Xenopus tropicalis: one gene and its partners. The protein of the gene in region 3 interacts with the protein of the main gene of each other region in a biochemical or structural test. Links are inferred from orthologs where the notes say so. Each region holds a gene or a part of one and is shown on either strand. Other genes may lie near its edges.

What was found. The genes of interacting proteins can lie anywhere in the genome.
Region 1: the proteins of fos (region 3) and runx2 form a complex in vitro, tested with the Homo sapiens proteins (2 studies listed by BioGRID). The link is inferred for Xenopus tropicalis from reciprocal best matches to the Homo sapiens genes FOS and RUNX2.
Region 2: the proteins of fos (region 3) and ddit3 form a complex in vitro, tested with the Homo sapiens proteins (2 studies listed by BioGRID and IntAct, with this or other methods). The link is inferred for Xenopus tropicalis from reciprocal best matches to the Homo sapiens genes FOS and DDIT3.
Region 4: the proteins of fos (region 3) and runx1 form a complex in vitro, tested with the Homo sapiens proteins (2 studies listed by BioGRID). The link is inferred for Xenopus tropicalis from reciprocal best matches to the Homo sapiens genes FOS and RUNX1.
Region 5: the proteins of fos (region 3) and atf2 form a complex in vitro, tested with the Homo sapiens proteins (3 studies listed by BioGRID and IntAct, with this or other methods). The link is inferred for Xenopus tropicalis from reciprocal best matches to the Homo sapiens genes FOS and ATF2.

Annotation. Positions count from the first base shown.
Region 1 is NC_030681.2:147,664,074-147,668,373, forward strand, and holds the start of runx2 (runt-related transcription factor 2), read right to left. Parts: upstream 2,801-4,300; 5' UTR 2,650-2,800; intron 2,465-2,649; 5' UTR 2,387-2,464; coding exon 2,329-2,386; intron 1,148-2,328; coding exon of another isoform or gene 1,125-1,147; exon of another isoform or gene 1,062-1,124; intron 1-1,061. UniProt on the Homo sapiens protein: Transcription factor involved in osteoblastic differentiation and skeletal morphogenesis. Essential for the maturation of osteoblasts and both intramembranous and endochondral ossification.
Region 2 is NC_030678.2:140,584,251-140,588,452, reverse strand, and holds the start of ddit3 (DNA damage-inducible transcript 3 protein), read left to right. Parts: upstream 1-1,402; 5' UTR 1,403-1,506; intron 1,507-4,202. UniProt on the Homo sapiens protein: Multifunctional transcription factor in endoplasmic reticulum (ER) stress response. Plays an essential role in the response to a wide variety of cell stresses and induces cell cycle arrest and apoptosis in response to ER stress.
Region 3 is NC_030684.2:82,309,800-82,313,807, reverse strand, and holds the start of fos (proto-oncogene c-Fos), read left to right. Parts: upstream 1-1,208; 5' UTR 1,209-1,293; coding exon 1,294-1,437; intron 1,438-1,926; coding exon 1,927-2,151; intron 2,152-2,268; coding exon 2,269-2,376; intron 2,377-2,578; coding exon 2,579-3,208; 3' UTR 3,209-4,008. UniProt on the Homo sapiens protein: Nuclear phosphoprotein which forms a tight but non-covalently linked complex with the JUN/AP-1 transcription factor. In the heterodimer, FOS and JUN/AP-1 basic regions each seems to interact with symmetrical DNA half sites.
Region 4 is NC_030678.2:13,898,239-13,902,508, reverse strand, and holds the start of runx1 (runt-related transcription factor 1), read right to left. Parts: upstream 2,801-4,270; 5' UTR 1,914-2,800; coding exon 1,644-1,913; intron 1-1,643.
Region 5 is NC_030685.2:64,415,398-64,419,481, reverse strand, and holds the start of atf2 (cyclic AMP-dependent transcription factor ATF-2), read left to right. Parts: upstream 1-1,284; 5' UTR 1,285-1,441; intron 1,442-4,084. UniProt on the Homo sapiens protein: Transcriptional activator which regulates the transcription of various genes, including those involved in anti-apoptosis, cell growth, and DNA damage response.

The DNA of each region.
Region 1 (4,300 bases), on a different chromosome or scaffold from region 3:
GAATGTGAGTTCTGGAGGGAAACCTTTTCCTATAGAGGAAGGTAACTACATTTCTAATACACAGTATAAAGCGTGAGGGGTAAAAAAAATGTGAAAGTTAAGTTATATGTGCAGTTGCCTTCCAGCAGAATGGAAAGAATACAGTGAAGAAATAAAAACATGCACAGGATTAAGAGAGAGCATTGGAATAGTATTTAGCATTGAGTAGACTATATAGACCAACTAGTCAGGTTCTATGGTTTTTATCCTCCTCCACTTGTGTGACGTGCAACTAAATCTGCGCTGTTGTTCATTGGGCACCCCTGTCCCAGACCGATAACAATCTAATTGACCAAGGCCCCCTGGACCTCCAGATGCCATGGGCCTCAAATGACAAGGAAATTGCCCAAGAGTGGAAGGCACTTCACTGCTTTAAAGATCAATGTCTCGGCCCACACAGAACCTTTCTCCACGGGGGCAAATTCAGCCATCAGCCCTGCAAATGATGATGACTACAGCCAGAATTTCTCCTAATCTCTTTTGGAAGTGGAAGCAAAGAAAGCAAAACTCCCCATACATGTAAACTGTGTTTCCTCTTGTAAACACAGGGATAATGTGGTCTGGCTACCCTCTATGCACCGATTCATTAGCGAAGCTCGTTTGTAGTCAAACGGCCAGTCCCAATATCGAAAAAGGTGTGTGAATAGATAGATATGTAATATATATATATATATATATATATATATAGGTATATGGAGTCTGTAGACAGGAGGCACAACGTCTCACACTACACGGGGCATTGGTAAATCTCGCTAAATTCCCACCTGGACCAGAAACCCTTCATTCCGACTCTCCATGGTATAATTAACACCGATTGTGAGACCTCAGATTTTGCAGGCCTATGTAATGTTGTGGTTTTTCTTTTTTTTTTTTATACAAGCCACGCTTCTCCCTTCACTATTCAAATGCCATTGGAGGCAGCCAATTGCAAAGCAGAAGCAGGGGAGGGCTATGAATGAGCTTCCTACCACCAGGTATGGGAACGGCAAGCCCCTCACTGTTGTAAAGAGCTCGGTTAGCATCTTTCCCTGAGCAGCCAAAGAGGAGAACCTATTCCCTTCCAGTACCAACACAAGCCTCTCATCATGGACTGGATTCAGAAAATGTTGTAAGTGTTCAGAAGCACATAGCAGTGCCGCCGCCGCTCTGTGTCAAAGGATGATTCAGCTAGAATGAATACAGATCTGTCTCAATTATGCCTCAAAAAAGAGGGGGGGGGGGGTATAAAAACTTTTTTTTTTCCCTTGATGTTTCTAAAAGCAAAGACCAAGGCAGAAAAAAAAATGATGCCTTAGCCTCAGCGTGAAGCGCGCTCCGCTCACCTTGTGCGTTTCACCCGGGCTAACACTTTTTGCCGAGTACGTCAGACGCACGGTGTTCATTCTAGCATCGCTTTTGACAGATTTATTTTGCCATGCCCCATAGCGGGAACGATGAGATTGTGTGCTTTGGGTCGGGGGCGCAGTGTTTGAGGGATTGAGTTAACCCCTTCAACGCCTCGGCTTGTGTAGCATGGGTTGATAGGTGAATCTGTGTATGACTTGCTGTGTGTCTATTTCCCTTTATTTACACTGTCTTGTTGTGCGGACATCTGTGTTTACGGTGCAGCTATGAGACTGGATGCCCTTTTTTAAAAAAAGTTGTGTCTCCGCTATCAAACCCACAGGTTGGAGTCTATCAGCCCCCCACGTTGTAGTTGGAAATAAATGGAATCTATATACATATGTATAGGCAGCACATATAACTGCTCACTCCTGCGTTTTCCCTTCTGTTCCCTAAATGTCCTGCCAAGTTGCAGCACACAGAGCATCCAATACTCCGCTGCGGTTAAATCCTATTTTTCCTAATTTCCTTTAAACAGTGGGGTGCCGGGAAGTAGGAAGGGAGTTCAAGTGAGCTGCTCACTGAAATGATTAGGTGACTTTGAACAGACTGCGCTCTGTACCTAGCCCTGCCCTCTGTGTATTTAAATACCTTTCCAGGTGATACACCTGACTTGATGTTGCAGTCTAGGTTTTTTTTTTCTTTTTGGTGCATCAATGGGGTGAACTATGTCCCCCCCCCCCCATTTGAGTTAGGTAGGTGGAGGTTATGTGTTGAACTCTCTAGGGTTTCCTCTTTCGCCTAATGATAGCCTTTCGGCGATGGACCAATTTGTGGCTCGCCTCTCCGGCTCAGCACCAGTCACTCGCGGCCCGCCATTTTGCCAGTTAACGCTGCTTCGGTCTATATGAGAGCAAACCAATCTGACTCCGAATGATCCCCATATCCAAATTTCAAGGTACTCACCCCAAAAGAAGTTTTGCTGACATGGTGTCACCGAGCTGAACAGACTGTTGGACGCCATCGTCCTTCTTCCTCTGCCGAGTGGCGCCCGTCCGCTTTTTTTTTTTTTTGTATGTCCCGGCAATAAATATTCCTCAGACTGAAAATAGAGATTGTGGTCACCATGGATAGTTCCACTTGACAGATGATACCTACTCCTATAGCATAGTCGTCTATACCCCCCCTATTTCGAGTTAGCTATTCCATCCTAGCACATATATGTATTTCACAGCCCAAAAAAGAGACTATTATTACGGCACCTATTGTGGTTTAAGAGGCACTTACCGACAGCGACGGTCTCGACGGCTGGTAGCGACCTGCGGAGATTAACCATTTAAAAACCAAAGGCTCCGCGCTGTCCTCCTGGAGAAAGTCGTGCACCGCACTTGTGGTTCTGTGGTTGTTTGTGAGGCGAATGAAGCATTCACACAATCCAAAAAAGCAAAAGCTTTAAAACTCCTATTTTTTTTTGGAAGCAACGTTACTGGAGAGGCAGTATCATGTGGTTGATGACATCAGAGCTCTCAAAGGGGGACAGACTTTCAGTGTGGCTTTCTCTTTTTTTTTTTCTTCTTCATATTTTGACAAAAGGATCGTGGTAAGGCCTTTCCTGGCATCCAGAAGGGATATAGCTTTTTAATTTTTCTGACTCATGAGGATTTGGAGAGAGTACAAATACAGCAAACGCTTAAGACTCCTGTACGGTGAAAGCATATGGAGTGCAGAAGTGAAATTGTACAATACTCTCTTCAGCCTTCAAACTTCATGTCAGATATTTTTTTTTTTTTGTTTCCTTGACTTTTATTCTGCGTTTATTATTATATCTAGGAAAAGTGAGTGAAACTGGCACAGCCAGATGCCTAATATTCCCCAACAACAGCGATGATTTATAATAATTCTCCTCCTTTGGGTTGTGTCGGTGGAGCAAGGTCTGCTTTGGATTTACTGGGTGGTTGGATCCTTTCTGTTATTCCGCTTGCTCCTTGTCTTCCTGTGATTGGGGTTCTGTAACTCATTGTAAGAGCCTCTCTCCTGCGTTTCTGGGAGTCTGGTAGCTAACTGCTTAGCCGGTTGCTGTGTAATTGGCTGTCACAGAAGCTCTAGGCTGGAGATTCCTTTACAGAGGTTTAAATCAAGTCTGTCTACATAAACTCGGGCACAGCAGGCAGACCTGGCTTTGTGGCCAAGTGACGTTTAAAGCTGTATTACCTGGAATCTTTATTTTATTTTTTTTTAAATTGTATAAACGATAATTATAATCTTTTATTTCTTTTACATCCCAAAAAGGTTTCAGTATTTCTGTTTTATGTGTATCTTCAAATATGTGCCACCAATCCACTTTACATATCTTAAAGTGTTATTTCCTATTCCTTGCTTAGCATTCTTATCTTTAGTCACTCTTCTGTTTGGTCAGAGCGATGGCAAGGTATTTTTGGGTGCGTCATTTCCCTTGGGGGTGACTGTTGGGAGACGGAAGCTCAGATCCACTTGGGGTGATTACAATTGGTTGTAAAGGCGGTTAGGGCCTTATTTTGTGTTGTTGTTGTTATTATTATTATTATTATTAATAACATTTATTTATAATGCGCCAACATATCCCGCAGCGCTGTACAATAAGTGGGTTTCATACATTGGACATACAGAGTAACATATAAAGCAATCAATAACCGATACAAGAGGGGAAGGGAGCCCTGCCCAAAAGAGCTTACACTCTACAAGGAGACATACAGAGTAACATATAAAGCAACCAATAACCGATACAAGAGGGGAAGAGAGCCCTGCCCAAAAGAGCTTACAATCTACAAGGAGACATACAGAGTAACATATAAAGCAATCAATAACCGATACAAGAGGGGAAGGGAGCCCTGCCCAAAAGAGCTTACAGTCTACAAGGAGACATACAGAGTAACATATAAAGCAATCAATAACCGATACA
Region 2 (4,202 bases), on a different chromosome or scaffold from region 3:
CCCATTTGCCCAATAGCACTTTCTCACTAGAAGAGGCGCCTTTCCAGTTTAATAACCTCAAATTTGGTTAAATAAATGAATGATGATAATGGTGCAATGCACAACAATTTTAGATACAGCAGAGAAGCAGCAAATTTAAAGAGTGGTGGTACATTAAAGAGTTATACATCTATACCCAATGCCTAGCACTAGCCTCAGTAATTAAAACAGTCAATGCTTAAATAACTCGTTTTTCCATCAGGAAAACCACCATCCCACCTGTTACTGCTTCAATATTTTCACCTTAGTATTTTTGCTATTTTAAATTGATGCTGTTCAGCTAACATCCGCTGTCCATCTACATTGACACTATCAAGTGACTTCATTTGACCACATTAACTTCTATTACACCTAAGGATTCCATTGTTTTTCATGATTTTTTTCATACATATTTTGTACAGGTTTTTTAATATAGACTTTTCATGGATTTTTTTTTTTTAAATAAAGATGTATTCATTATGTACATGGCAAACTGGAATAAAATTATTTTTGAGTAATGAACTGTATAATTAGATACATTATAAGGTGGTATTAAGAAGCATATTTATTTCAGTGTGTAAGCCAACATGACAGGTAATGTTGCCCATGGCAACCAATAAGCAATTAGATTTTAATAATCACAAGTTAGAAACAAAAGCAAATATCTCATTGGTTGCTATCGCCTCAAGTCATGCTGGCTTATACACTATAATAAATATGCCCCTGTGTGTTTTAGTTGGTATACTAGCCAGCTACATTTCTAAAGTGAAATTGCTTTAAATAATTGGAACGATAAAAAACCCGGCACCTTATACAATTTTGGCGTTAGGATTAGTCGCTAGTTGTTTCTAGCAACGCAGGTTTTATATCTCTCTGTATTACTTCTTTAGGTTTAGTTCTCGCTATTTATGTTGCTTTCTTATGATAAAACCAGGTTGCGGACAAGGTCGTACAACCTGAAGGTGAAAAGCAAGCTTGGAAAGTCCCTCGGGTTGGGGGAAGGCTTGGCCCCAGCTTGCCAGCTCTTGCATCACCCACTATGACTCACTCTCGTCTCGTGATTTCCAACAAAACACTTCCGCAACACACCCTCTGACTGCACAACAGCATACCCAAGTGTCTCCGCCTTTAGGCTTCCGGTTGACGGGCCTCTGCGTTTCATACCTCGTTATGCTTTTTCAGCTAGCCTTCTAATTGGCTGTAGAAGGCACCTGGGGGCTGGCAATAGAAGTCCTCCCCGGAACGTCTGGCTAGAGGCGAATGAGGAAGCAATAGGATAAGGGTCGTGTACGCTAGATTGGGATCGACGATCTGATTGGCTAAGGCAGCGAGCTATATAACGCGGCTTCTTCGCACATATCCTCAGTCGTTTTGCTGAAGACGCAGACGATGTTTAACATGAGCCCACAGTCTCTTAACGTGCAACCACAAACCAGCTCACGCTGTCGCTTTATTTGTCAAAAGAGAACAGACCCTACGTGGAGAAAGGTATTGTTATTTCTTGTGTTCATATTGATTACAGCGAGTTTTGGACATAGGTATCGGCATCTCCTATGTGTGCCTTTAATCCGGCTCTAGTAAGGCAAGCGCACAGTGACGTTTTTTTGTGACCATTTTATTATTCCAACGCTGTGCAGAGCCTGAGTCTATAAGATGAGAGATGTAGTTCATCTTTAGTGTTGATACTGGTAAGACTGTTCGTTCTGGTATGGTCCATTAGGGGAGATGCTCTATAATTTCTTTAGAGTCTGTTTTGTTGGTTGGGGCGAAATGTATGTATGTATGTATGTATGTCTTTATTTATAAAGCGCTACTTATGTACGCAGCACTGTACAGTAGAATACATTAATACAAACAGGGGGTTAAAGATAATGGATAAATACAAAGTATAACAATAAATACAAATAAATACAAGGTACAGTTGCAATAAGAGTCAGAAACAAGATGAACGAGGTCCCTGCCCCGTAGAGCTTACAATCTATATGGGACCAAAAGGGCAAAGAGTGCTCAGTTCTAGAACCTACGGCATCCCAGGTATCTGAGGCTTATGAATGAGTGGAGGCAGGGCCAGTCAGTGCTGGTTAAGCCTGTCCCAGAGCCCACTCTCGCACTGCTGCCGGTTACAGAGCCCAGGATTACAATACAGCGGTGGCTCCCCCTCCCTTCCTCCCTGTTGTCTCTCAGCTGGAGCAGCCAGGCAGACACAGCAGCCCAGCAGCAGATCCCACTCTCCAGCTGTCCGGACCCCAATGTGACTCCCATCACACAGCAGCTGGCATAGATTAAGCACTAAAGCTGGCCACATGGTGGTCGCACAAAAGATCGTTCCAACCCTCCGCTGACATTCAGGGCTGAAACGGCAGATATGGAGGTACAAACAACAGGATTTCTACCTCCTTCTGTCGATTCAGCCCTGAAGGCAGATTTTGCTCAGACGCCTTCAATGGCTCCCGACTGGAGTGTCGACCGATATCCGCAACCTTCTGCGATATCTGTCGCCTTGCCGAGTTGCCATACACGCACCAAATATCGTATATTATCGGTGCGTGTATTGCCTGACTTCATAGCCATTTAACTTTATCCCACTCCTGGTGCTGCTGTAAGGCAACCAGGGGGGTTGAAATCAGCCAAGGCATTTATTAAACCCGATAAAGGAGAGTACAGGCACAGACCAGTAATAAAATGCTTGTCCTACAGGCATATTCATTTGCCCTTTTCCAAGGACTGTCTGTTAATGATTCCTTATCTCCTAAACACTGGAGCATACCATATACATCATTTGATAGAGCTTGTCACAGAATAGGACAATGGAACACTGCTGGCCAAAACAAACGGCAATTCAGTTATCCAAGCTGTCGTGATTTCTTATGTTTCCATTTTCTGCTGCTCAATTTCCTCAATTTTCCTCTCACGGGATGTAAGTTGGTGATCCATTACCTGCCCTATATTATTGTAGATGGTAGAATCTAAAACTATAGAAATTGCACATGCCAGATGAAATTTAGGCTTCCACCCCCCTGGCCAAACTGAACTAAAATATTTAAGAGCAAAATTAAAGTCATGGGCAGAGTCTTTAACAATTAACTAAATGCTCTTTCTGAAGAGTCCAAAGAGCTTGAATTGACTGCTTAAATCTGCCTGTGTATGGCCACCTTTACTCACAAAATGGATATTACAAGGCACCCATAGTTAAACAGGTGCTGAGAGTGACTGTAGAACCAACAACAAGATGATAAAATGAAACCAATCACTATCTTGTTTAATGTCCATTTGTTTAACTGAATATAAATACAGGCTGCTTTCCTTCAGGGCAATGTCACAAACATTTTGTTCCCCTTTGCTAAATCTGCGCTGCTCCAGCTGACAAAATATCCCAAATTTCCTTCCCAGCGGCAGTAATATGAATTAATGGTGGGAAAACCTAGTGAAGTTTTGTTGCTTGCAGTAGAGCAGATTACAGCGGCCAAAAAAATCCCTGTATAATTCCGCTTGGGTCCATTCCCACACTAAAGGTTCCCATACATGGGCCGATTGTAGCTGCTGATATTGGTCCCTTGGACCGATATGACAGCTTATCGGCTCCTGTAGGGGCAGAAGTGACGGCCATACCCGACCGATATCTGCCCCAAATTGGCCATATATCGATCGGGCCAGTTAAAAGATGCGGTCCCCGAACTGACTGCCCCATTGCCGCCATTATAATTAGATTGTTTGGCCCCAGAGCTAAACGATTGAATTGGCCTACATGTTCCCTGATATTGCCACCTGTAGGTGTGGATATTGGTTGAAGATCTGCTCACTTGGCGACCTCGCCAAGCGAGCGAATCTTCACGTGTATGGGCACCTTTTAGATCTGTGTTCGGTTAAGGGTGTTTAGAGGGGAATTACCTTTTTTTTTAACCGAGCTGGCAAAGTTTTATAGTTGTTTTATGGTGCATGTTGTGTGAAGGTTATTTGTATAAAAAAAAAAAAAAATAAAGACTAACCTGTAACAGTAACCAGTCTCGAGGCCTATTGTATTCAAGATCCTAATTTAGTAAGCACTACCTGCAGATTGGTTGCTATGGGTTACTAGATCTAGTTGCCATTTTGATTACATTGCCTCCTTATTGCTTAAGATCTCACTAAGACTTAAGCTGGCCAAACCAGTACTACATTTTGTATGATTTTCAGTCCATGTGTGG
Region 3 (4,008 bases):
CTGGACTTCAGTTTCTTCCACACTCCAATAACATATACAAAGAATTGGCGTCTGATAAAATTTGCGCTATTCTGTGTGTACATAAAAGAGACCTTAGATTGTAAACTGCATTTATATGGGAAATTATAATAGCATGATAATGATAATAACCTTGTGAAAAAAATATAAGCACTATATATAAATGATAATAATGCAAGATGTTTTGCTCTGTAGTGCTGAGCCAATGTATTTGTATAATACACTGAGCAGTTTGCTATTTTTGTTTCTGGAGCTGAGGGGGTCAGCGCAACAAAGATCAATATTAATCTCTGTTATACAGAATAGCTGGAGGCATATGGGGCACAGTGTGGTGGGAAGCTTGGAAAGGGGTCCCCAGGTGAAAACCAGGAAACCAGTGTAATTTTTACTGGGGCCCACAGTTCTTTAGTTAAGCCACTTTCATATTTTACATAGGACAAAATGTAATTGTATTATAGGCAGAACAGGGTATATGAATTATACAAATGTATCGCTATTCATTTTATAGATAAACGAAAGTGACTTGCATCATACATGTATACTCTACAGTCTACATCATTAACATGCAGAGCAGAATTTAACTGTACAGCGTTTGCCTTTTATGTTAAATTGCAGTGTATACCTGTATTACATAAACATAAAATTGTATTTTTTATTAAACACGGATACCGCGGATATTGTTTTCAAAAGGGCTGCGTAACCTTTTTCCACTCTTCAGTTTTACCTTTCTCCCAATTCGCACCCTCAACCCCTCCCTTTTTGTGTCTGTCTTTGCTTGCTAGGGCTCTTCCCGGCAGCCCTACCCCTAGCCGCCTCAAACCGCCCTCAAACAGGATGTTTTCCTTATAAGGATATCTGCGTCATTTGGATTCCCGAGTTCGGTGAAACCATTGGGTAAATCCGAGGGGGGAGACAAAAAAATAAGCGTTTGTTAGGTAATGCTACCTTGAATATTCATTTAGGTCATTGTCAAGAACTGAAGAATATTTGACATTCAGCACAATTAAATAGAAAACGAAAGCCCCGAGAGTTGATACTAGAGTTGCTCGTCCCTTTGAATAGTGGTAGGGTCTAACTCGTGACGTAGGCTTTGAAAAAAAGTAAAAAAAAAACCTCTGACAGGGTATAAAAAGCTGGAGAGGAGGCAAGTTCCTTCAGACTAATTGCTTCATCGTACGGAGTGGTTTGACAGCTTGGTGAGCCAGGACTGACGGTCTTTCTCTGTCACTTGCTACTCCCGGAGCTGGTTTTACATTCTTACCCTCAAAGGGCACCATGTATCACGCCTTCTCCAGCAGCACCGAATATGATGCAGCTTCTTCCCGTTGCAGTAGTGCCTCTCCAGCCGGGGACAGCCTGACCTACTACCCGTCCCCTGCAGCTTCCTTCTCTAGCATGGGGTCACCTGTTTCTCCACAGGTAAGTCATCTGATATATGATTTTAAGAGGGTGATGAAGTGTTTGCGGGTGGCTTACTTTACTGGTTGTATGGGTACAAGTAACTGGGTTTAGACTTGGCACCCGAATATCCATAGTCACTGCTCCTGGGACTAACACCCAAATCCTGGTTCATGTTGTAGCCCTGACTTCAACAGGGTCTTTGCACTCTCTTGCCCCTCCCCCCACTGTATGTGTAAAGCGGTTCCATTGATAAAAATCCAGAGTTCATTCAGGAGACTCCAGAGCTGTTCCTGCGTCACTAGTGACGGCGGAGCTATTTCTGTCATACTCGGGCTCGTGTGCTAGGATTGGAAATGCGGAACCCGGGTGGGATTATCAATTTCAATGGCTGGGTTGTGTGTGTATATTTGTATAGATACACATAACACTTATTGTGTGCAGTATTGCCGATTGTATACGTATTTTCTCTTCACTGATAGTCTCCTATTTCTACTTATGTGTTTTTAGGACTTCGGTGGTGATTCAAGCAGCAGTTTTGTACCCACAGTCACTGCCATTTCCACCTCACCAGATCTTCAGTGGCTTGTACAGCCAACCCTTATTTCTTCTGTAGCCCCATCACAGTCTCGGGCACACCCTTATGGGTCCACACCAGCTTACAGCCGATCTAGCGTTATGAAAGGATCTGCTGGAAGAGGTCAGAGCCTGGGAAGAAGAGGAAAAATGGAGCAGGTAACTGTCAGACCTTTGTTTTCCTTTAGTTTCTGCAATGCAGGTGTAGGTAGATGTTGTTTATCTATAAGCTACTTGTTTATTTATATTGACAGTCTGTCTTTTCTCTGCTTATAGCTTTCTCCAGAAGAAGAAGAAAAAAGGAAAGTAAGACGAGAAAGGAATAAGATGGCAGCTGCCAAGTGTCGTAACCGCCGTCGGGAGTTAACAGACACCCTTCAAGCGGTAAGTAGGCTACTAAATAGGCAGTAGTTTATATAAATGTTAAGATTATATATTATATATATATATAATATATATATATATATATATATTAGTTTGACTATATGCAGAGGGATGGAAAACATAAATGGGATCTATATTGCTCTCCATTCTTGGAGGATTTGATTGTTTGAGGTTCTTACTATACCACCTTCTTCCCTTGTAGGAGACTGATGACCTGGAGGACCAGAAATCTGCCCTGCAGGCAGAGATTGCCGGCCTTCTAAAGGAGAAGGAAAAGCTGGAGTTTATACTTGCAGCTCACAAACCAGCTTGCAAAATTCCACATGATCTTGATGGAGCTTTTCAAGACTTGACCTCATCTCTTGATCTGGGTCTGATTTCAGAGACCCCTTGTTCTTCCAGCTCTCAGGAGCCTGTAGCAGAGCCTCTGTTTCCCATTGGCCTTTCTCAGTCTTCCATGCCTGAAAAGGAGAACACCCAGCTGCAAGTCTCTATGGAACTCAAATCTGAACCACTGGATGATTTTCTGTTTAACTCTTCTCACACAGGTGTAACTGATGCAGCACGTTCTGTGCCAGATGTAGATCTTACTAGCTCTCTTTACACATCAGAATGGGAGCCACTGTATAGCACTTTATCTGCAGACATGGAGCCTCTGTGCACACCAGTTGTTACCTGCACTCCAACATGCACTACCTATACAACATCATTTGTCTTCACATACCCAGAATCTGACCACTTCCCCAACTGTGGAGCCGCACATCGGAGGGGAAGCAGCAGCAATGAGCAGTCATCAGACTCTCTAAACTCTCCCACCCTTTTGGCTCTGTAATGCTGAGGGACATTCACACAACCATTGTGAGATGCTGCTGGGGACTTTTACTTGTACTTGTTAAACTGGTTTATTTTGGTGCCTCCTTCCTTTGACTCCAAAATGCAATAAGGCACCATATGTGGCTTTTACTGTCATGCTTTTGGAACTTCTTCTTTGCTGCCATAAGTGTTCACTGTGCATGTCAATCCAAAAAATATGGTACTAGCATGTGACCTAGGCTCAGATATAGGTAATGTTTTGAAAAGTGTAAATATCACAGTGAGCACTGTACTAGGCCAAGAGTCTCCTACTTCCCAGTCATCACAAACTAGCACTAGATCCCTGTTAACTTATATGGTTGTGTAGTTGACTCCTACTTCCAACTGCCACTGGAGCCTGATACCTCTTACTGATCTGTAGCACTGGCATGGACTTGTTGTGAATTCTGTTAATATGTAGCATGATGTATCCCATACATTAACTGCTAGTGGCAATGACCTACGTTAACCTGTTTAGGTAATTGTGATATTGATAAAAGCCTTGTGCTGTTAGCTTGGAAATGTAGTCTAAGCTAGCTCACAGGAATGTTATGGTGCTGGCTGAGTACAAGGTGTTTAGAGGAGTTAGCTCTAAATATCCTTGTACCAGCCATGATATTCATTTGTAAGTCAGATATATAGATCATATATAGATATCCTTTTAAGGGCCGGACACATGGTGAACGTGCTGTTTCTTCCGTTGATTGTAATACTGTCTTTCCAAGTTTTCCATGAAAACGTTGATTTCCTGTAGATGGTTTTTGTTTTATTTATTATGAT
Region 4 (4,270 bases), on a different chromosome or scaffold from region 3:
TATATAAAACATGATAAATAGGGAATATTTATTAAACCTGGGACAGTGAAGTTGCCCTTTATTATCTGAAAGTATAAGCAAAATTCAGACAGAAATCAGTATAATGGCTGCCGATTAGAATGGCTTTCACCCTACACTGGAGGCTTTGGACCATAGTGCTAGAATATATATATATATATATATATATATATATATAAAACCCCTATATTTAGCTGTTATTATGTGTATGAGAGTTTCACGCCATCGGGCCAGTGAGTTTTGGAGAGAGCTCCCTGTATCTGTCAATAAAGGAGACAGCAGCTCTATAAATTCGCAGTCCCCTTTGAAAGAGTGAGCCCAGACACATTTCAGGACAGTGAGTCAGATCTAACGAGTGAATTATTTTACAGGAATATATTCCTTACTGGAAACGTTCAAAGGTGCAGACTGAGCCTCGGGTGCAGTTTAGGTTTTTGGGAGACGAGTTACACACAAAAAAAAAAACATGTTTTGTATTATCTCTAGCAACATTTCCAAATAGAGCCGGTGAGCTACATCTTATTCATACATGCGTCTGCCCCTTGCTAGAGGGATAGGACAGGAAGTGCATGTTTACATGCGTGCACAATACATCTACATTTATATTATTACACTTATTGTACAGCGCTGCAGAATATGTTGGCGCTTTATAAATAAGTGTTAATAATAATAATTACACTTCTGGGGATTATAGAGTAAAAGCCCTGGATTCTGTACCTTGGTTTGATCGCTGTAATGTATTGAGACATTTAGGGGAACTATTTCAAATAATTTTCCCTGTTTTGGGGGTAACATTCCCCCTGATATTACTATTAAAGGAAGGACTGTTACCCCCAAAATAGGATTGTTGGCCACTTTTCTCTATGGAAGCCCATGGAAGTACTTTTTAGGGCTACTAAGTGTGTTGGCTTCTGAGAGTTGAAGTTCAGCAACATCTGAAAGGCCACATTTTGCCTATATTTTGCCTCTCTCAACCAATGGATACATGGAGTGTTAATGAATGCTAATATATGGCTGTACTAAGCATTTCAACCATGTTTTTATCTGTGGGCACTAAACGTGCCATTGTTCGCCAGATGCCAGCCTGTCTGACACGCAAGCCGCTTGCCTCGGCTCTAGGAAGCCACAGGACTACAACTCCCAGCAATCTTGCTGGGGCTGTTGTCAGTGAACAAATCTGCTCTGTAGTACGTACTACTACTACTAAGGGCAGGAATATTTCTATAAGTTGGGTTTCATGGCACATTGCTCATTATGGGGACCCACTTGCTTCTATTGAATTCCATGAATAAGAACCACCTCTGCCTGTTGGGGATGCTGGGGAACCTTTGTATAATAACTGCTAGTACCTGAGAGCAGCATACCTGCTTAATGGCTGTGCCACAGGCACCCAGTATCACTGGCGCTGGGAATTCTTGGCTGGCGCTATGGCACAACAGCTCAATTATAGTGAGAATAATAATAATGCCATTAAAACTACAACTATTATAATTTAATGATACAGTGCCACACGTACTCTGCGCCCAACCCACGCTTCCTAGAGCTCCTCTTGCCTCCCTGCTAGTAGATTGCAAGCTCTTAGGAACAAGGAGAGTGATAATAAAGTCACAGTGCCAGGGTCTTACCTTGAAAGCGATGGGCAAGGTCTTGTTGCACCTCCAGTGTGTGGGCAGCACCGAGCAGAGAAAGTTTGGGCTGTCTGTGCGGACCAGCTCCCCGGGATGATCGGACAGTACTTCTACCATATTCCGGTCTGTGCTTCTCAGCTTGCCCACCAGGGCGGCGCTGCTGTCCGTGACATTTAGCGGGATGGGTTCGCTCATCTTCCCCGGACTCAGAGTGGTGGAGGGCGGCGTGAAGCGGCGGCTGGTGCTGGTATCTACGGGGATACGCATCACAACAAGCCTGGTGAGTAAATACCTTCTAAATGGAGAGTCGCAACAGCGCTGGCAGCCAGTAATCGCTCCCTGGGGGCAGCGATCGCTCCTAGGAGTCAGTGGGCACACTCAGGAGTCAATGGCACAGGAGACAGCGATCAGGCTAAAGAGACAGCGATCATACTCAGGAGTCAGTGGTCACTAACATAATTCAATATATGCCAAGTGAAGTTCTCCAAAGTTTCAGCGATTTGGCCCAAGCCTTCTGGGAGCAAAGGGGTAGTCTAGCCAATACCGGGCAGCCCAGCAACTAATATCCTAAGTCCGAGTGTATTTATGGGGGATTCTGGGCTGAAGGGAACTTTGCCCCAACTCCTTTGCAGTAAAGGGGGCAGATAGTAGATGCTGGGGTGGATTTTAGCTCCAATAATCAGACATTGGTTCCTCCAGTGCCCTAGGAATAGTGAGAATTAGTGGGTGCAGGACTGGGTGCCAGGCAGCTGAGGGCCCCTCTCCTTGGCATGTCACATGGGCCGGTTAGCCGCACTCTCTTCCTGTGGCTTTGTATTGTGGGCACACACAGCAGCGGCAGTCGCATCAGGCAGGGTGACTCACATAGGTAGGTATGTGCTCAGATTAACCCTTTGTGCCCCTACAGGAGCTTCTTGCCCTCCCAGGGACAGATTAGAGCTGCTGCAGGCTGCCGGGTCCCACGCATGGTGCTCAGAGAGTTGCTCAGAGTCACGGAGAGTGGGAAGTGCGAGTTGTGACTCCTGACTCGGCTAGTAAGGGTAATGTATCCCCGCTGGTGAGTTGCTGTGGGGATGGGAAGCGGCGTGTGAGCGCTCTCTCCTTCCCTCTCGGGCTGTGGGAATGAGCTTCTGCCTCAAATCTATTGCCTTTTACTGTAACAGTGCGGAGGAATGGCATCCCCTGCTCATCTGCATATGGGGAAGCGGCCGGCCAATCAGGCGGCTCCGTGGGACTGAGGCAGGGCGCGGCCCGGGTCATGGGAGCTGCCGGCTAATAGGTCGCCTCAAGCTACCGGCCTGGGGAGTGGGACTCGGGGGGGCGCTGTGTGTGTATGGGAGCTGCCGGCTAATAGGTCGCCTCAAGCTACCGGCCTGGGGAGTGGGACTGGGGGGGCGCTGTGTGTATGGGAGCTGCCTGTCACTCTCCCATGGCAGGTGAACTACAGTCCGTACCGTGGGGAGGCTCAGTGCCGGTCCGCTTTTCCCTAACCCCAAATCAGCAGGAGTCTGAGGGGGGGATACTATGTGCTACTAATGTCCTGCCCGGCCACCGTATCCCCACAGCCACAGGTGATGGGACTGAGGGAAAAGCAGCAGCAGCCTATAATGGGTTTATCATTTGGCCAAGGGACAGGGCAGTGCTGGCACCATTATACCCCCATGCACATCCTCTCTATTGCCCCACAGGGCCCCCTGTAGTGCGCCTCTATTACCCCAGACTGTGGTCTGGGTATTATGCTCCACTCCGGGGTATTGGGGTATATAGTGCCCGTCCATCACCCCAGCCTCTAACCCCATGGTTTGGGTATTATGCTCCACTCCGGGGTATTGGGGTATATAGTGCCCGTCCATCACCCCAGCCTCTATCCCCATGGTTTGGGTATTATGCTCCACTCCGGGGTATTGGGGTATATAGTGCCCGTCCATCACCCCAGCCTCTATCCCCATGGTTTGGGTATTATGCTCCACTCCGGGGTATTGGGGTATATAGTGCCTGTCCATCACCCCAGCCTCTATCCCTATAGTTTGGGTATTATGCTCCACTCTGGGGTATTGGGGTATATAGTGTCTGTCTGTCACCCCAGCCTCTATCCCTATAGTTTGGGTATTATGCTCCACTCTGGGGTATTGGGGTACATTGTGCCTGTCCATCACCCCAGCCTCTATCCCTATAGTTTGGGTATTATGCTCCACTCTGGGGTATTGGGGTACATTGTGCCTGTCCATCACCCCAGCCTCTATCCCTATAGTTTGGGTATTATGCTCCACTCTGGGGTATTGGGGTACATTGTGCCTGTCCATCACCCCAGCCTCTATACAGTGCCCCTAAAGCACCTATTTATCTATGGTCCCCAATAGATTGTGTATCTTGCCCCGCAATAGGGGCCACAGTTTATACAGGGGACTATGGGAGCAGTTGTAATGCAAACAGGTTCCCTATGTTACATTCGTCCCCCAGGCACAGAATTGCAAAGTGATAGAAGGGCAGGTCAGTTTGAGGGCAGGACACAGAGCCACCTAGGGTGCCAGGCCATTAGTGTGACCAGCTGGCCACTTACCCCTGGGTGGGGCATCATTCTGTCTCAGTGTATCACATGGTATAACTGAATCACTAAAAGTAAA
Region 5 (4,084 bases), on a different chromosome or scaffold from region 3:
GTAATGGTCAGCAGCCTATATAGGAACACGTTTTACAGAGTCCTCCATTCACATGTCCTTTGACTTCTAGTTCAAAGTGTTTGGGTTTCACATAGAGCTCTGCCATAAAATTTCTGCAGCCCTGACTAACTACTGTTACTGAACAACAGATAACATTTTGCCAACTAAGGTGGATCATGCTGTCAGTACAACATAAACTTTAAGATTTGATTGACAGAAAAGCATTCCAGGACAAGCTTCGCCTGAACGCAACAGAAAGCACCTATACCTACACCTACTTAGCCCTGAGCAGGGTTCAGCCCTTCTAGGTGGTATGTTTGTAAACACTGGAAGCTTGAAGCTCTGAGAGCCCCATGGCCCTGGTTGCCACTGTGGGACTGAGTGTGGAAGACAGGCAAAATACCAATGTCAGTGACCACTCTGCCTGTCTTTCCCCTGTAACATGGTGCTGAATTAGGGCAGACTGAATAAGTATGGGAAACTGGGTTCTTGCTGGTGCTTAATGACCAGCAAGGGAAGCCACCTAACCAATCCTGAGCCTTTCCTGGGCTGGTCTGGTTACCAAGGCAGCAGCATCTTCCTCCTGCACATAGAGCTGTGGACCAGAGCTGCTTGCCTCTCACAGCCTTAAATCAGTGCACCAGTTGTCTCACTGTGTTCCAAATGCATATTGCTCTTACCTTTAAATCATATACATATATACCATATATATTCCCTTGCTGTGTGAACTATGCAAGCATCCTGATATTTGTCATTTTTATCCCTGTCTTTATCAAAAAAATGTTGCCACTGTCTCTTTACTAAACATTAAGGAGTCACTCCATGTCCATTCAGACTTAAACAAGTGACCTTTTACAGTGTTTATGTCACCATAACACAAATCTGTGTGTGAAATTAATACTGTGACAGAATCTTCAATAAACAAAAAAACACTAAAATGATGGCAATTTCACTTGACCCTGGTTTGAACAAAACCCCTTTCCCTTTTAGTCAGACTGCGATATGAGGCTCTAAGGGTGTCAGGTACTGCTGCAACCAGGAAACGTAATTTTATGTTTGCTGGCACAAGTCTGAACTTTGATCCGGGAATAGAAATGACTTTTTATATTAGGAGCTGAAGTGGTGAAGGGAATATCAGTCAACCAACAAGAAAAAAAAAGTGTTTTTATTTAAGTATTTTTTTATTCGTTCGTTAACAAAGGAAGGCAGTGCGATCAGAAAAAAACCAGATTGAGAGTTGACCTAACACGACTTCCTAGCAGCCACCGACTGCGTACAACTCAGTTACGCCCACTCATCCCTCCCACAAGCGGCTGCGTAATGCGTCACTGCGCTTGCGTAGAGTCGTGACGCCAGTCTCGCGTGAGGAGACGCGGTGTTGGGCTTTTCTGTGGGACTGGGAAGCTGCTGGGAGCCTGCACTTGACAGCTTATCGGGAGGTGTAAGTAGCGTTGTGGGACTGCGGGCTGTGTTAGGAAAGGCTGGACTGTTGGGCAGAATGCACTTACATGGATTCCCGGGCCCCCCTGCTGTCAGTGAGCTGCAGACTTGGAAAGGGAGGGCGGGAGCTATGGTGCCTGGATGTTATTTACGCTGCTGCTGCTTGTTTTGTCACAGAGGTTCAAGTCCCTGTAAAGCCATTGTGGCTCTTCCGAAGTCTGCGGCTCACTGACAGCAAGGGTCCGATAATCCAAGTAAGAGCAGCACTGCCAACCCCCCTTAATTCCCAAACCCACTGGGTCTGGGACTGCCCCCCCCCCCCATGGGGGCCCTGTCTGTAAACCACAAAACAACACCACCTCAGGAGATCTTAAACACAACAAATCCCTCACCTATAGAAAGAATCCTACCAAGATTTCTGGGGGTGGTGTAAGTTGTAGTTCCACAATGTGTGGGGTGCATGACTGCCCAAGTATCCTAATATAAGCCCTTGGGTGCAATGTCATGGAGACTGGCCTTCACCTAATGGCATCCTTGCACTACAGTACATTCCTGAGAGGTTCCTATGGGCTCCTAGTGGGTGCAGCATTCTGCACCTTTGCTCTAATCCTGTTTGTTGTATCATTAGCCACTTCATTCCTTTTGTAAGAGCTTGCATGGATATCTTGACTCGATTTTCATGTGACCGATTGGATACAGTTTTACAATGAAACATGTTTTCCCTGTAATAATCAAATGTGATTGAGTTAAATGAAAATCGCATACAGTTTCAGCCGAATTTCGGGAGATTTGTGTTGGAAATTTCTGTATAGCTAGCCATAAACAGAAATAGTAAAACGAGATTTAACTTGTTTGGATTCCTGGCCATGCTGCCTGCCATTGACTTGAATGGTGCTAGTGGTAGGTGTATTTTGGTTCTGTGTTTTTGGGCTATGAAATAAAAACACAACAAGGGGTATCGTATCTTAAATCACCTTGTGCCCCTTTACTGTTGTTCTTGTTGGTTGGGAAATGCTTTAATGAGCAGGAGTAGTGTTTGGGGGGGGATTGAATCTGAAACAATCTTATATAAGATAAGAATGGGAACTGTCAAGCTTTCAGTCATATTTAGGGGAGCAAATGGTAATTCACCCCAATTCTCACCCTAACTGACCTTCAAACTGAGCCACCCTCACTACTGCCTCAAGCCCCCCCCAGAAAGGCCGGGTTCCATAGTATGTGAACCACTGCTATAAGGTATCACTGGGTCGGGGAAAGGAATATAAAGAAAAGAAAGAATAATAACTTGCGTCTTTCAAAGTGATTATAACATGGATTGCTGTGTTTGTATGCACGTATTGCTGTGACTATTAGGGCTGAACTACATAGAGAGATTTTGTTGGATATGGTGATTGCAAACAATCACATCTTATAAGTCTTATGTAGTTGTGCGGGTCTGTCAGTGGTGCAGCTGGTATAAAAGTGGAAATGCTGAGCTTTTATCTGACAAGTAGTCGGACAGACTTTTTCTCATTGAAATACACTGACATATGCAGATACATGAAAACAAGAACCCATCTGACTTTGAGAATCTGGTTTTGTAACATCCCACATAATTTAAACATTTTTAGAAAGGTCTTTTCAGTACATATTTGACAGCATACTGGTCTACTTTATATAGGGTTAGTTCACTGTTAAACTCTTTCATGTAGACAGGAATATACTGAGGCAATCTGAAATTGGTCTTCAGTTTTTTCCATCACTACTTTAATTTGGAATTTCAGCAGCTATCTGGTTGGTAGAATCCAATTTGCCCTAATAACCAGGCAGTGGTTTGAATGAGAGACTTGGATATGAAAAGGAGAGTGCTCAAAAAGATACTGTATATACTCGAGTATAAGCCGATCCGAATATAAGCCGAGGTACCTAATTTTACCTAAGAAAACTGGAAAAATTTATTGACTCGAGTATAAGCCGAGGGAAATGCAGCCGCTACTGCAAGTTGAAGTGATATCACCCCCCTCCCAGCAGCTAATTAGCAGAACAATGTGAAAGCATCAAGATAGCAGCTCCCAGTATATATCAGAATAGTACGCAATAGTAAGAAATCCAAGTGCGGCTTGGGATTCCCCCAGTTACATGGGAGTAGGAGAAACAATAGGTTACCTGAAAGCAGTCCTAATGTGTAGCGCTGGCTCCTTGTGAAAGCTCAGACTCAGGCACACTTTACTGCTGCGCTGCAAGTTGGAGTGATATCCCCCCTCACTCCCAGCAGCCAGCAGAACAGTGGGAAGGGAGCAAGATAGCAGCTCCCAGTAGGTATCAGAATAGCACTCAATAGTAAGAAATCCAAGTCCGGCTTGGGACTCCTCCAGTTACATGGGAGTAGGAGAAACAATAGGTTAGCTGAAAGCAGTTCTAATGTGTAGCGCTGGCTGAAAGCTCAGACTCGGGTACAATGCACTGAGATGGCGCCTACACACCAATATTACAACCAAAAAATACATTTGTTGGTTCAAGAATACAATTTTATTTGCTATGTAAACAGTGTAATTTAGATCTAAAACTATACCATAAAAATCAGTATTCCTTTAAAATTTACTTTGGGTTGTGTTAGAAAGTGCTTGGCAGCATCTATTACACAAACTCCAGCCTGGGTCTCCCA